Daphnia pulex: one gene and its partner. The protein of the gene in region 2 interacts with the protein of the main gene of each other region in a biochemical or structural test. Links are inferred from orthologs where the notes say so. Each region holds a gene or a part of one and is shown on either strand. Other genes may lie near its edges.

Region 1 (5,768 bases), on a different chromosome or scaffold from region 2:
ACTGGGATTCCAATTGGATCTCAGTACAGACATTCTTGAGACATTACCGAGAATTTTTAACATGCTTAAACAGGAAGAGCTCTGTGAACTGTCGTAGTAAAAGATCATCGAGATTATTAAAATTCAGTTGAAGTATAGGTTACCTACCCAATTCACAGTACTTGTTATAGGCAAGAGGATTTCTGCGAAAACCGGCAGGAAAGTTAAAAGATTGAGCAATAGACTTACCCTGGATGGGAGACGACGAACTTCGTGAATGGTACGAGCCAGCGAAAGAGACATAGTACAGTAGTCAAAGAATGGGGCAAAACAGCTGAAAAAGTGCCCAACAACGAGAGATGCCAAGACTCCATGAAGGAGGAAATCAAGACGATAATAATATCCAAGAGAATTGCGGAAAAGTGAGAGATAAAGTGGGCGAAGAAAGAACAAGAAATGAACGATAAAAAGTTGAAATCGAATCAAAAAGTTTTCAGTCTTTCCAATTATCTAACTGAAAAAACAGACATTAGAAACATGAATGAAATATACAAATATACTTATCAGTGTGACGTGTAAGTAAACTTATGAAAAAAATTACCTTAGGGCAGAATCCTTTACTTAACAAGCAAAATTTAACTTTCAGGTTTGGTGAAAAACATCCAGCCTTGACCATATGCCCTAGTAAGTATAAATATTGATTTAATAAATGGTTATTTAAAAAAATATATAATTAATGCTTTAATACTTACAGAGGCAGAGTTATTGGAGGACTCCCTTTCTGATCATGACTATCCAGACTCAGATAGTCCATTTCTCACAATTCCACGAAACAAGAAATAAGAATGGCCTAATACAATACAATATACAATACAATATGTTAATACTTTAGTGAATAATACATAATTCCGGTGAGCAGACGACGTCAGACTCTGTTGAAATTGAATCAAACAGTTTTCAGACTTTCAGTCTTTCCAAATTCTAAATTTATCTAACTGAAAAAAAAACAGACATCAAAACCATTGAAATGTTCAAGTATAGTTATCTGTGTGACTTGTAAGTTATATTTATGAAAAAACATTACCTTGGGGCAGAATCCTTTACTTAACAAGCAAAATTTAACTTTCAGGTTTGGTGAAAAACATCCAGCCTTGACCATATGCCCTAGTAAGTATAAATATTGATTTAATAAATGGATATTTAAAAATATATATAATTAATGCTTTAATACTTACAGAGGCAGAGTTATTGGAGGACTCCCTTTCTGATCATGACTATCCAGACTCAGATAGTCCATTTCTCACAATTCCAAAAAAAAAAAAGAAGAATGGCCTAATACAATACAATATACAATACAATATGTTAATACTTTTTTAGTGAATAATACATAATTCCGGTGAGCAGACGACGTCAGACTCTGTTGAAATTGAATCAAACAGTTTTCAGACTTTCAGTCTTTCCAAATTCTAAATTTATCTAACTGAAAAAGAAACAGACATCAAAAACATTGAAATGTTCAAGTATAGTTATCTGTGTGACTTGTAAGTTATATTTATGAAAAAACATTACCTTGGGGCAGAATCCTTTACTTAACAAGCAAAATTTAACTTTCAGGTTTGGTGAAAAACATCCAGCCTTGACCATATGCCCTAGTAAGTATAAATATTGATTTAATAAATGGTTATTTAAAAAAATATATAATTAATGCTTTAATACTTACAGAGGCAGAGTTATTGGAGGACTCCCTTTCTGATCATGACTATCCAGACTCAGATAGTCCATTTCTCACAATTCCACGAAACAAGAAATAAGAATGGCCTAATACAATACAATATACAATACAATATGTTAATACTTTAGTGAATAATACATAATTCCGGTGAGCAGACGACGTCAGACTCTGTTGAAATTGAATCAAACAGTTTTCAGACTTTCAGTCTTTCCAAATTCTAAATTTATCTAACTGAAAAAAAAACAGACATCAAAAACATTGAAATGTTCAAGTATAGTTATCTGTGTGACTTGTAAGTTATATTTATGAAAAAACATTACCTTGGGGCAGAATCCTTTACTTAACAAGCAAAATTTAACTTTCAGGTTTGGTGAAAAACATCCAGCCTTGACCATATGCCCTAGTAAGTATAAATATTGATTTAATAAATGGTTATTTAAAAATATATATAATTAATGCTTTAATACTTACAGAGGCAGAGTTATTGGAGGACTCCCTTTCTGATCATGACTATCCAGACTCAGATAGTCCATTTCTCACAATTCCACGAAACAAGAAATAAGAATGGCCTAATACAATACAATATACAATACAATATGTTAATACTTTAGTGAATAATACATAATTCCGGTGAGCAGACGACGTCAGACTCTGTTGAAATTGAATCAAACAGTTTTCAGACTTTCAGTCTTTCCAAATTCTAAATTTATCTAACTGAAAAAAAACAGACATCAAAAACATTGAAATGTTCAAGTATAGTTATCTGTGTGACTTGTAAGTTATATTTATGAAAAAACATTACCTTGGGGCAGAATCCTTTACTTAACAAGCAAAATTTAACTTTCAGGTTTGGTGAAAAACATCCAGCCTTGACCATATGCCCTAGTAAGTATAAATATTGATTTAATAAATGGTTATTTAAAAATATATATAATTAATGCTTTAATACTTACAGAGGCAGAGTTATTGGAGGACTCCCTTTCTGATCATGACTATCCAGACTCAGATAGTCCATTTCTCACAATTCCAAAAAAAAAAAAATAAGAATGGCCTAATACAATACAATATACAATACAATATGTTAATACTTTAGTGAAAAATACATAATTCCTTACCTAAAATTTAAAGAAGACATATTGTTTGATTGTTTTACTGACTACGATCCTGAAGACCAAGAACTAGAAGTGGAGGATGAGGAGCCTTGGTTCACGTAAAAATAAACCGTAATTAAACTTGTACTTTCAATAAATAAAACTAATTAATACCTTATTTTTAATTGTAGCTGAAATCATACTGTCAGCTAATGAGAGAAAAAAGGACGACAGCAATTCTGGTAAGTAAAATGCCTATGTGAAAAAAACAAACAAACATTAATAATTAAATTAAAACGAAAAAATAAAATGTATATATTAACTTACAGATGAAAACGAAACTGATGTAGATGATGTCGTTTTACCTACACCCAAAAGGAAGAGAAACGTCCAACCTAAGAAAGATAGGAAGAGGGCTGCAAAAGCTGTGAAAAGGGCCAAAAACGAAGAGGCAAACGAGGCTCCAAGCCACGCAGAAGAGCAGACTTCCACATCTTATTCTAAAGAAATGTCGAAGTTATCGAAGCTCTTCAATGATCATTTCTCCTGCTCTGAATAACTATTCAAAAGATTGCACGATAGTTTGTACAAAATTGTAAAAACAAGTTCAAATATTTCCACATGTCCCAAGTGATTTTATGTGAATACAAGTGAAATTCTCTCATAATAGACTAATTTAAAAAGAAAATGAGCTGAACTGAACACTACATTCATATTAGAATGATGGATCCTCATTCTGAGCAAAAGCAAGAGTCTTTCAAAGCGATCAATCTGTGTTTGCCTCTGTGTTAGCCCTCACAACAGTGTTGCGCGATTTGTTTAATTCAATCGTGCAACACTGTAGACTAGTGGGGGCTTTATTCATAGGGAAAAGGGTGTCACATAAAACTTTTTTTTCCTACACCCGAATTTGTAAGCAAAATTAAGTAAACATTCAAGGGACATGGGGAAGGGCGAAGGGCTATATAAAATTACAGTATAAAATCTAAAAATCCATATGAATTATGAATTACATGTACCCGAAAATGCGTGTGTGAAGCACGTAATCGGTAGGGAAAAGGAAAATGAGTGATATCCACTGGATACCGTACCACCTGACCTCTACCGGCATGCAGAAGCATCGCCTGTGGAGGGTTATAGGGGAGTTCAGTCTTTCCTTTGTAGTCTATGGTTTCGCAATGCCGTAAAAAAATTCCAATTGAAATGCCAATTTGCTTAGCACTTACCGGAATACTAAATTTCGTAAGATGTATCCTTTTTCCTTTGCAAAGGAAGTCGGGTATTCGGACCGATTGGATTTCATACATTCATTTAAACGAAAGGTGTCCTCCTTACCTATAAACCAAGAAGTGCCAGGCGGATACAGCAAGCATCATTATTTGTGATCAATCGTTTTTTACCAAGAACCGAGGAAAAACACTTGCAAATATTACAAATTCATCAATATTTTTATTTGAATAAAAATTGGAAACAATTCTGTCAATATTCAATAATATCCTCCCCCCTCCCGGTTGGTTCACACAAAATTACATTTAAAAAAAAACAATATTTTTACTACAATCGCCAGAATATTGCTAATCATTTTGACGGGTTTTTAGTACATGTTGGTTGATAAATTGAACTTACATTTTTTTTACTACGGCCGGCTTCCAAAAAACGAATCTATCGTCCTTGAGCGCTTGCTATCCTTGGCTGCCTTCTTCTGGTTCTTCAACGGCCTCTTCGACGATTTTTTCTCGGCTGTCTGGACTTTCGAATTGTTGGCCAATGAAGAAGTAGAAGGCTGGGCAGAAAATTCCTTTTGCAATTCGGACGCCAAATGGAAATCTTTGTGTTCTTCGATTTCTTCTCGGAGAAATTGTTGTTTGCACTTGTCACATACAACGAATTTATCATTTCCATAACTACCTTTCCTAGCCTCGATTGCTTGTAAAACTTGGCGCTGTAGATGAAGCGGGAGTAGAGCTAGGGTATCCATATCAACTTGATTTAAATCTGGAAATAGTTCTTCAACGGAGAATGACTCTTGAAGACCCACCATTTTCAGGGCTGCTGGTTCAGGAACAGATTCTTTAGCTGATTGTATTGGAGTGTTTTTGTCAAGGCAACGAGAAGCAAAAAACCCAGTTTTTTTCACTATTCCACAGTTATCTTGATTGGAAATAGGCATTGAACTCATTTCTCTATGGACTGATACAGGCTCTGCTTCAGTGCACTCTGAAGCAGAGTCGGCTGTATTTGGTTCTGGTGCCGTAATACTTTCTTCTTCAATATCCAAGATTCTTTCAGTTTCTACAAATTCATTTTCTTCATCCTCCTGATCAGTACTGTTTTCGTTTAGATCATCGTTTTCATGCAATGCTTCCTGTTCTGCATAGGGTTCTTTTTCCTTGTTGGTTTCAGCACTATTTTTAGTGACAAAAAAGCGATCGATCCTGGAATTATTTTCCAGTTGATCAACAAACTTGCTAGCTGAAACTCCAAGGCAGGTAACAACCACTGGAACTCTAGTGTTGCCTTGTTTGAAACAAGGATTTTCTTTACTAATAACTGCCAAGCAAGCGTTCGCCATGTGCATTTTTTCGTATGAAGAAGTCAGAGGAATTGAACGAGTATAAGAGTACGGTCGTATATCGCCTTCTAATCGAACCGTCAGAGTTAATAGTTTTGCCGTTCTATTATTCTAAAAAAATAAATTTTCAAGGGAAAATATGTTATGCCAACACACGAAAAAGAGGTACAAGAGTGATGGGATTTACCGTTTCCCGGTCTTTCTCGAGTCGCTCAGAAACTTCAGCACATAACTCTTCTAGCCAATGGCTTATTTTCTCCCGAGAATCTAGTGCAGCTAAACCAGTGAAATTTTTATTACAGCCTATGGACTTGGGCAGTCTGCGGGAGCTGACCGACTCATGATCCACTCCTCGGGCGTACCAGTAAAGCCACGTGCTGAAAGACAAAGATTT
Region 2 (6,917 bases):
TTTATCTCTTAGAGTAAGGAAGTAGCATGAAAGCTATAGATACCAGATAATACTGCCTTAGTGTGTGAATGACAAGGTTGCTTGACACTCTTGTGATGAATTTTATGTTTTTGTAATCATTTGACAAGGCCTTACAGTGGAAACTAATTTCTGACTTTTCCTATATTGAACATTTCACTTTTTAAATCTGTTTAAATAGAAGAAACAATTAACTTTTCTGTGCATTGCACATCTCTTGACAGCAAAGAGGACTGTAGTGTAAGAGAATATTTTGTTGTTTCATTAGTGCTTTTTAATGCTTATGGGGATTCCAAAGCTGTGTACATTACATTGTCTTGTCTTGCAGGTCTGACAAACTTCTTTTAATGGAAGTGTGTTAAGAAATGGAACTATCAAATCTCACTAACAATTTTAGCTGTCCTCAAAACACTTTCAGATTTTGAGGAATGTGTATTTTGAGGAAAATGCAATCAGTCAATACAAAGTGGAAAAGAGTATCATGTTTTAGTCTAGTTTGAATCCTTTTTTTATGAGGTCAGCTTTGGCATCAACTATCTCTTGTTTTAGCTCTTTGGCAGCCTCCTCGCAGTCATTAAATGTGTAGACTCTCCAAGCAATTATTGAAACAGAAATCACCTGCAATAATGAGGGAAAAAATTGCTATAGATAATACGCACCATATCATATAAAAACAAAACTTACTGCGAATGCGAGTAATACGTAAAATGGTAGGAACAGAACGAAATGCCGGGCAAAGTCGCTAGAGTTTCCAACTGGTGTACTGATAAAGAGGTAAGCCCAAACACCAGCAAACAAGCCTGCACCACCCAACCATTCAACCAATTTTGTCATAGTGAATAATTGACAGAATGACAACAAGGAGAAAAAACGAATGACAGAAAGAAAAGAATTTGCTGGCGTGTCATGTAAAAATCAAATGTCATGAATTTCTGCATAGTTGCCTGAAATACTTGATCATTTTCATATGGTTATCTTTATTATTTCGTGATATTTTAAAACAACACTAATTCATTTTTTAAGTTTTCTTCATTTCAATCAGAAAATAATCAATTAGCTTATGAAATATTTTGAAATAATGAATTTTCATTTTCTTTGCGCTTCGGGCTCATAGTAACAAAGCAGACGACACTACAGTGCTGTCATTTGCCGGTAGTTGAATTGTTATTGTTTGTTTAAACTTTTTCCTTACTCTTTCCGAAATGGAGGAAGAAGATTTAGGTGACGATTTCTCGTACAATAGTGTTGCCATTCAGTCAAGTGAAAAACATGAACGCGTTATCATCCATATAGATATCGACTGTTTTTATGCCCAAGTTGAAATGATTCTAAATCCATCTTTATGTGGCAAACCACTTGGTATCAAACAGAAAAATATTGTTGTAACCTGTAACTATGAAGCAAGAGCGCTGGGTGTTGAGAAACTTATGTCAATAAAGACCGCACTAGAAAAGTGCCCTTCCTTAGTACTTGCAAATGGAGAGGACTTGAAAAAGTATAGAGACATGTCAGAGAAGATTTATCAAATTCTTCAATCGTTCAGCCCATTTGTGGAGAAACTTGGCTTGGATGAAAATTTTATTGACATTTCCCACAAAATCAACAAGTCCCCTGAAATTAAACCAGAAGTTTCTGGACACATTTTCGAAGAAAAGAACAGTGATGAAACTTGTGCATGTGGTTGTACAGACAGACTAAAAGAAGGTTCTATTATTGCTCAGGAAATGCGAAATCAACTAAAAAGTGAACTTGGAATCACCTCCTGTGCTGGAATTGCTTGTAACAAGCTTCTAGCTAAATTGGTTGGAGCAACCCATAAACCAAATCAGCAAACCACCTTGTTCTCAGCATCATCTTTAAACTTGATGAAATCATTGAAGCATCCTAGAAATATTCCTGGAATTGGTTCAGCAATGAACAGAAAACTAGAGGTTCTTGGTATTGACACCATAGAAAAACTTCAAGCAGCAGATTTGTTTAAGCTTATTGAAGCACTTGGAGTCAAAACAGCTAACCAAATTCAACAACTGAGTTTTGGGATCGACGATAGTCGTGTCAAAATAACCGACAGACCGAAATCTATTGGAGCCGAAGATGGATTTCCTACAATCAAAAGTGAAACTGAAGTGCGCAAGAAGCTCAAGTGCCTGCTAGATCGAGTTTGGGAGTTAGTGGAGAAGGATGGCCGTAGACCAAGTCAAGTTAAATTGACAGTTCGGAAATTACATGCGACCAATCACAGTGTCAGAGAGGCCCGCCAGACTGCAATAGATCTTACGACTGGAGTTCCTAGCAACGCGCCATTAGGACCGTTAAGTGAAAATCAAGAAAAAAAAGTCATCACGACTCTAATGAATCTCTTCGAAAAGGTAGTAAATTGCGATGAATCGTGGCAAGTTACATTGTTGGGTATTTCGTTCTCTGGTTTTCCCTCTGGCATCGAAAGCCCAGCGAAAAATTCCATCAACAAATATTTTACTAGTTCATCGCGACCGAACGAAACTTTGCCACCTCCAACTAAGCGTGGACGCTTTGACGAATCTGTCCTCCAAGAATTACCTGATGACATCCGTCAAGAAGTTTTAGAAGATATGAAGTGTCAAATACCATCATCAAGCACCTCCCAACAGTCAGCAGATTTTGATTGTCCAAAAGGTGTCGATCCTCAAGTTTTTCGCGAGCTCCCGGTGGAGATCCAGAAGGAACTGCTGGCTGGGGAGAAAAATAAGAAGCCAATCGCAACCAAAAAACCTAATAACTTATTACAGTACTTCCGTAAAGTGTAAAAATGTGTTCTGTAGTAGCTATAAATGATCAACAAAGACATGTTATTTCATGGATGGGATATAATTTTAGCCACTTCCTTATCTTTCGAGACCAAAACACCTTTTCGGCCATCTTGTCTAGTAATTAGCAACAACCAACGTTAAGGTAAGTGAGGCGTTTTGTTTCCGTTTTGTTGTTGTTGTTTTTTTCTAGAATACTTACTATCCTGGCATTTTTAGTTTTTTTTTAAAGATTTTGAAATTTGAGGTTTGGCCACACAGAATGCTGAACGACCAATTTTAGAAATCTTATATTATATAAATATTCATCGAGTTTGCCGATTGTTGTTTAGTTTACATGTATATGTATGAAAAAATGAAATTGTCATTCTAGTTGCATGTCACCGTCGACGGTTTCCAGGACATGTATGGTGACGGTTTACATCATACAACTTATCCTTTTCTGGAACTCTATTACTGAACAAAAGTAAATAACCAACAATTTCTAATGTAAATTTGCTTTCTTGCTTTCACTTCATACGAGACGTGTGCAAACTAGCAGACCCTAACATTTCACATACCGCTAAATGTTATTCGATGTTATTGACTGAAACTTTTTTTTAATTTTGCTGCATAAGAACTGTATTGGCGTTTTCAAGGATTACTTCCGAAAACATCGTCAACTACATTTTAAAACAATATAAATTTGGTACGAAAACTTACGCTTGTATGTTTGGGAACACAGCTTATTTTCATAATTTTTGCTAATTTATCTCTAGCGTGGTAATTATCGGTAATTATTGAACGTCGAATTCAAAAAGAACCTGATTTTTGTTATCCTCATTAAATTTACGTTCGATTTCATGTGCACACTGAAAATCGTCCAAAATCGAGATTTTCTCTGAACTAAACTGAACGATTAGGAATACAAATACCCTCCGGGAGGAGAGCCAGAGCCCAGAGGAAGGCTTTCAACCACTGCTGGAGTTTATTAGCGACATCACCAATGTTTCACGTTTTATTTTTCATAATAGCTGCCTGACCAGGGGAGGAAGACTCGCGGTAAGTTTAAATCTAAAATTAATTACACGGCATGTCGATACCGAAAAGATCGCAACTTGGTCCCGGATGGCGGCCAGTACGTTCCCTACCACAAAATTTTACTTTTGTTTGACTTATTACGTTTGATTGTTTATGTGATATTAATTTTTAAAAATGGTTGTTTGCCATAGAATCGAACTAAGTCCCCTTTTTCAGAAAATTTTAAAGGGGTGTTAGTTCATAACTGACATCCAAACTCCAAAGTCGAAAAAATTCTATTTTTGGATTATCCAGTTGCAATCATTAGTAGGTAAAAACTAATGCTTGGTACTATTTAAAAAATAATTTTGTTTGACCTTGGTTATCAGTTTTCTCGTGTGCTAAAACCACTTCAAAATGTTCTGTAAAAGTGGATTTAGTTCGATTTTTCGGCAACCCACTATTTTTCAAATTAATACCTCAAACTAAAAAACGTAGAGAATCGCGATTTGCTCCAGTAGACTAGACGCAAAATTTTACATGAGTTATGAATTAGTGTAATAATTTTTAACGCGTCACCTGCACCCGACGTCTAATTGCGTCTAATGGCGGAAGGCCTAGCTTTCTGTCTACCACGCTTAGCGTAGATGATTTGTTTGAATAGAGCCAATTCATCAATCTACGCAAATGCCTCTGTAAACAAACAACAAACCATTAACGACCTATTGCGCGCCTGTGACGTTGCGCAGAATAGTGAACAATATTTAACGACAGCTATTGCCCGAATTGAGCATATAAATTCATAGGTGGCACAAGTAGAAAACGAATTCATAAAAAAAATTTAGCGATCAATCATTAAAATGTTCTTTAACTTTAGCGATCAAAAAGTGATCGCTAAAAAAAAATTGTTCGTGAAAAAATTGTTCCCAGGGCGTGTATGTCATAGTCATATACTCCGGAGACCGGAGTGCGATAGCGTCTTTGGACACTAGAGCGCACTGCATGATATGGCACGTCGAATCCATCACAAAAAAAAGTAAAAAAAAAAAAGTTTCGTCGCAACGCCAACTAGCGGTGAAATATGGAACTACATACAAAATTCCCTTTTCTTGCCCCAAAACGCGAAATTTTGATTTTCTTCGCTTCTTTGTCACTCAGAACGTGAAAGGTTAAATCTATTGCCACGAAATCCGAGAAATCAGACCATTCAAACTAAAAAAAAAACAGCTTGTAACCTAGGTTAATGATTTCATCTGAGTCAACAGTCAACGTTAAGCCATGAAGAAGGTTAAGCTAGCTTTGAAAATTACCAATGAATTCATAGGTAAACTCGAGTGATTTCGTCTGTAACTTGTCGGTGATGTGTTCTATTCCGTGTATATGTTGGATAACTTTAATGGTTTTCATCTACTCACAGTCAGAGTAAACGTGAAAGTCGTGCAACCTACCGTCAACTATTTTGTTCAAACTCATTGTATTCTACTGAATGTGTCATCGAAATGATACAGGTAAAAACCAACACTAGCTTTATTTAATGCTAAAACATATATTCTTCTCATGTTTTATTAGGATTAATCTTAATTATCGGCTGTTTCTGTTGAACTTGCTAGATCACCGACTCCAGCATGGACCAATCTCTCATTCCATCTTCTAGAGAATCTTGGATTTTTGGATAACTGATTGGTGGTTTCATGTATAAGTTCACTTGTCATGTTACTGAACTTTATTAATTACAGTCTAACATGAATTTTTGTTTTATTTACAGGTTTCTAAATTGGCATGACTGACTTTATGAGAAGTTATGTCTTTCCAAGAAAAAGGACTTACAGTCAACAAGATTCCTTGTTTGCTAACCTGTTGGCTGCTACCCTTGAATCTCCCTATTTTTAGACAACAAAAAAAAGAGGTTAAATATTGTGATCATGCTATCATCATTGTAAGTTGTGTTTACATTGAATTTAGAGAAGTTGTCATACTAATAGCAATTTTGACGATTGTTTGGTTTCTTATTTAGATGTTGCCTATAAGATCAAATGTGGGGTATCTGGTTATCCCTCCAAAATAAGGCAATGACCACACGTTCAACGCGGATCATTCGTTTTGTCATCGAACTTGACTCATTCCATCTTCTGGATTGCTTAGGAAAGCTGATTGTTGTTACCTGTGTAACTTCATTGTCATGTCACTGAATTAAAATTTTGTTTACATTTTGTTTCTTGATTTACCCATTTAGATAATGACCGAGAAGATGCGGCCTACATGAACATCATTTAGGTTAGGCGGCCAGCATCATTCGACTACCCAACCGGCTTCTACTACCCTACTCTCACACTCAACACAGCACGGAGTTTTACCCTTTAGATTTTTGGCTGTTCGCGATGTGTGATGGCGTTTCCTTGGACGAGATGATGATTTTGGCGAGAAAAATATTGCGTGAGTATATACTTAACTGTTTAATTATTCTTTTACTTATTTTTTAAATGTTTTTTTTTTTTTCATTTACAGGTTCTAACCTTCAGGTTCATAAATTTGCATGACAGACTTTATGAAAAGTAATGTTCTTTCAATGAAGTCAACAAGGTCCCTTGTTTGCTAACTCAATGGCTGCTACCCTTGAATCTCCCTATTTAGCTCCTTACACAGTCCCTCTTGATTTGAGGTATTGCTATTTGTCGCTACAATCTTATTGAAAATTATTGTCATCCGAATCAATGTTCATTCTGCTTACAGGGTAATCCTTCGCTACTAATCATGGACTCCATTGGTGAAACTGAAAACCCACGAGAGAATGCTGTAATCCAAGACTGATGAATTGTGTAGTTAGATTAAATTACAAGTGCATTTCTGGGCTCCCTTCTTTTCTGTGGTCCCGTTTCCCTAACTAACCACTAACCAACGTCCGCCGTTGGTCACTCACCCGCTGTGAAACCAGGAGGAGGGGAGGGCTCTGGTCGAACGGGGACTTGGAAGGCATATGATCCGACGAAAACTTTTAAAGGGTCATGAGTCTAACCCGGAAGCCTAGTATGACTAATCGCTCCCCAGTAAAACTTGCCTCGCACTCTTCTCTCTTCTTCCATTTCCAGGTAATCTCCCTGGATCTACGCCGACACT

Evidence for each region.
Region 1: the proteins of DNA polymerase iota-like (region 2) and DNA polymerase eta-like interact in far-western blotting, tested with the Homo sapiens proteins (2 studies listed by BioGRID). The link is inferred for Daphnia pulex from reciprocal best matches to the Homo sapiens genes POLI and POLH.

The regions. Positions count from the first base shown.
Region 1 is NC_060027.1:5,020,815-5,026,582, forward strand, and holds part of DNA polymerase eta-like, read right to left. Parts: intron 5,752-5,768; coding exon 5,562-5,751; intron 5,486-5,561; coding exon 4,439-5,485; 3' UTR 3,822-4,438; intron 3,362-3,821; 3' UTR 3,130-3,361; intron 3,058-3,129; 3' UTR 2,977-3,057; intron 2,912-2,976; 3' UTR 2,827-2,911; intron 2,763-2,826; 3' UTR 2,665-2,762; intron 2,597-2,664; exon of another isoform or gene 2,594-2,596; 3' UTR 2,514-2,593; intron 2,486-2,513; exon of another isoform or gene 2,426-2,485; 3' UTR 2,333-2,425; exon of another isoform or gene 2,281-2,332; 3' UTR 2,183-2,280; intron 2,115-2,182; exon of another isoform or gene 2,112-2,114; 3' UTR 2,032-2,111; intron 2,004-2,031; exon of another isoform or gene 1,943-2,003; 3' UTR 1,850-1,942; exon of another isoform or gene 1,798-1,849; 3' UTR 1,700-1,797; intron 1,632-1,699; exon of another isoform or gene 1,629-1,631; 3' UTR 1,549-1,628; intron 1,521-1,548; exon of another isoform or gene 1,460-1,520; 3' UTR 1,367-1,459; exon of another isoform or gene 1,349-1,366; intron 1,312-1,348; 3' UTR 1,215-1,311; intron 1,144-1,214; 3' UTR 1,064-1,143; and 6 more. UniProt on the Homo sapiens protein: DNA polymerase specifically involved in the DNA repair by translesion synthesis (TLS). Due to low processivity on both damaged and normal DNA, cooperates with the heterotetrameric (REV3L, REV7, POLD2 and POLD3) POLZ complex for complete bypass of DNA lesions.
Region 2 is NC_060019.1:7,784,405-7,791,321, reverse strand, and holds DNA polymerase iota-like, read left to right. Parts: upstream 1-1,146; 5' UTR 1,147-1,220; coding exon 1,221-2,804; 3' UTR 2,805-2,842; downstream 2,843-6,917. UniProt on the Homo sapiens protein: Error-prone DNA polymerase specifically involved in DNA repair. Plays an important role in translesion synthesis, where the normal high-fidelity DNA polymerases cannot proceed and DNA synthesis stalls. Favors Hoogsteen base-pairing in the active site.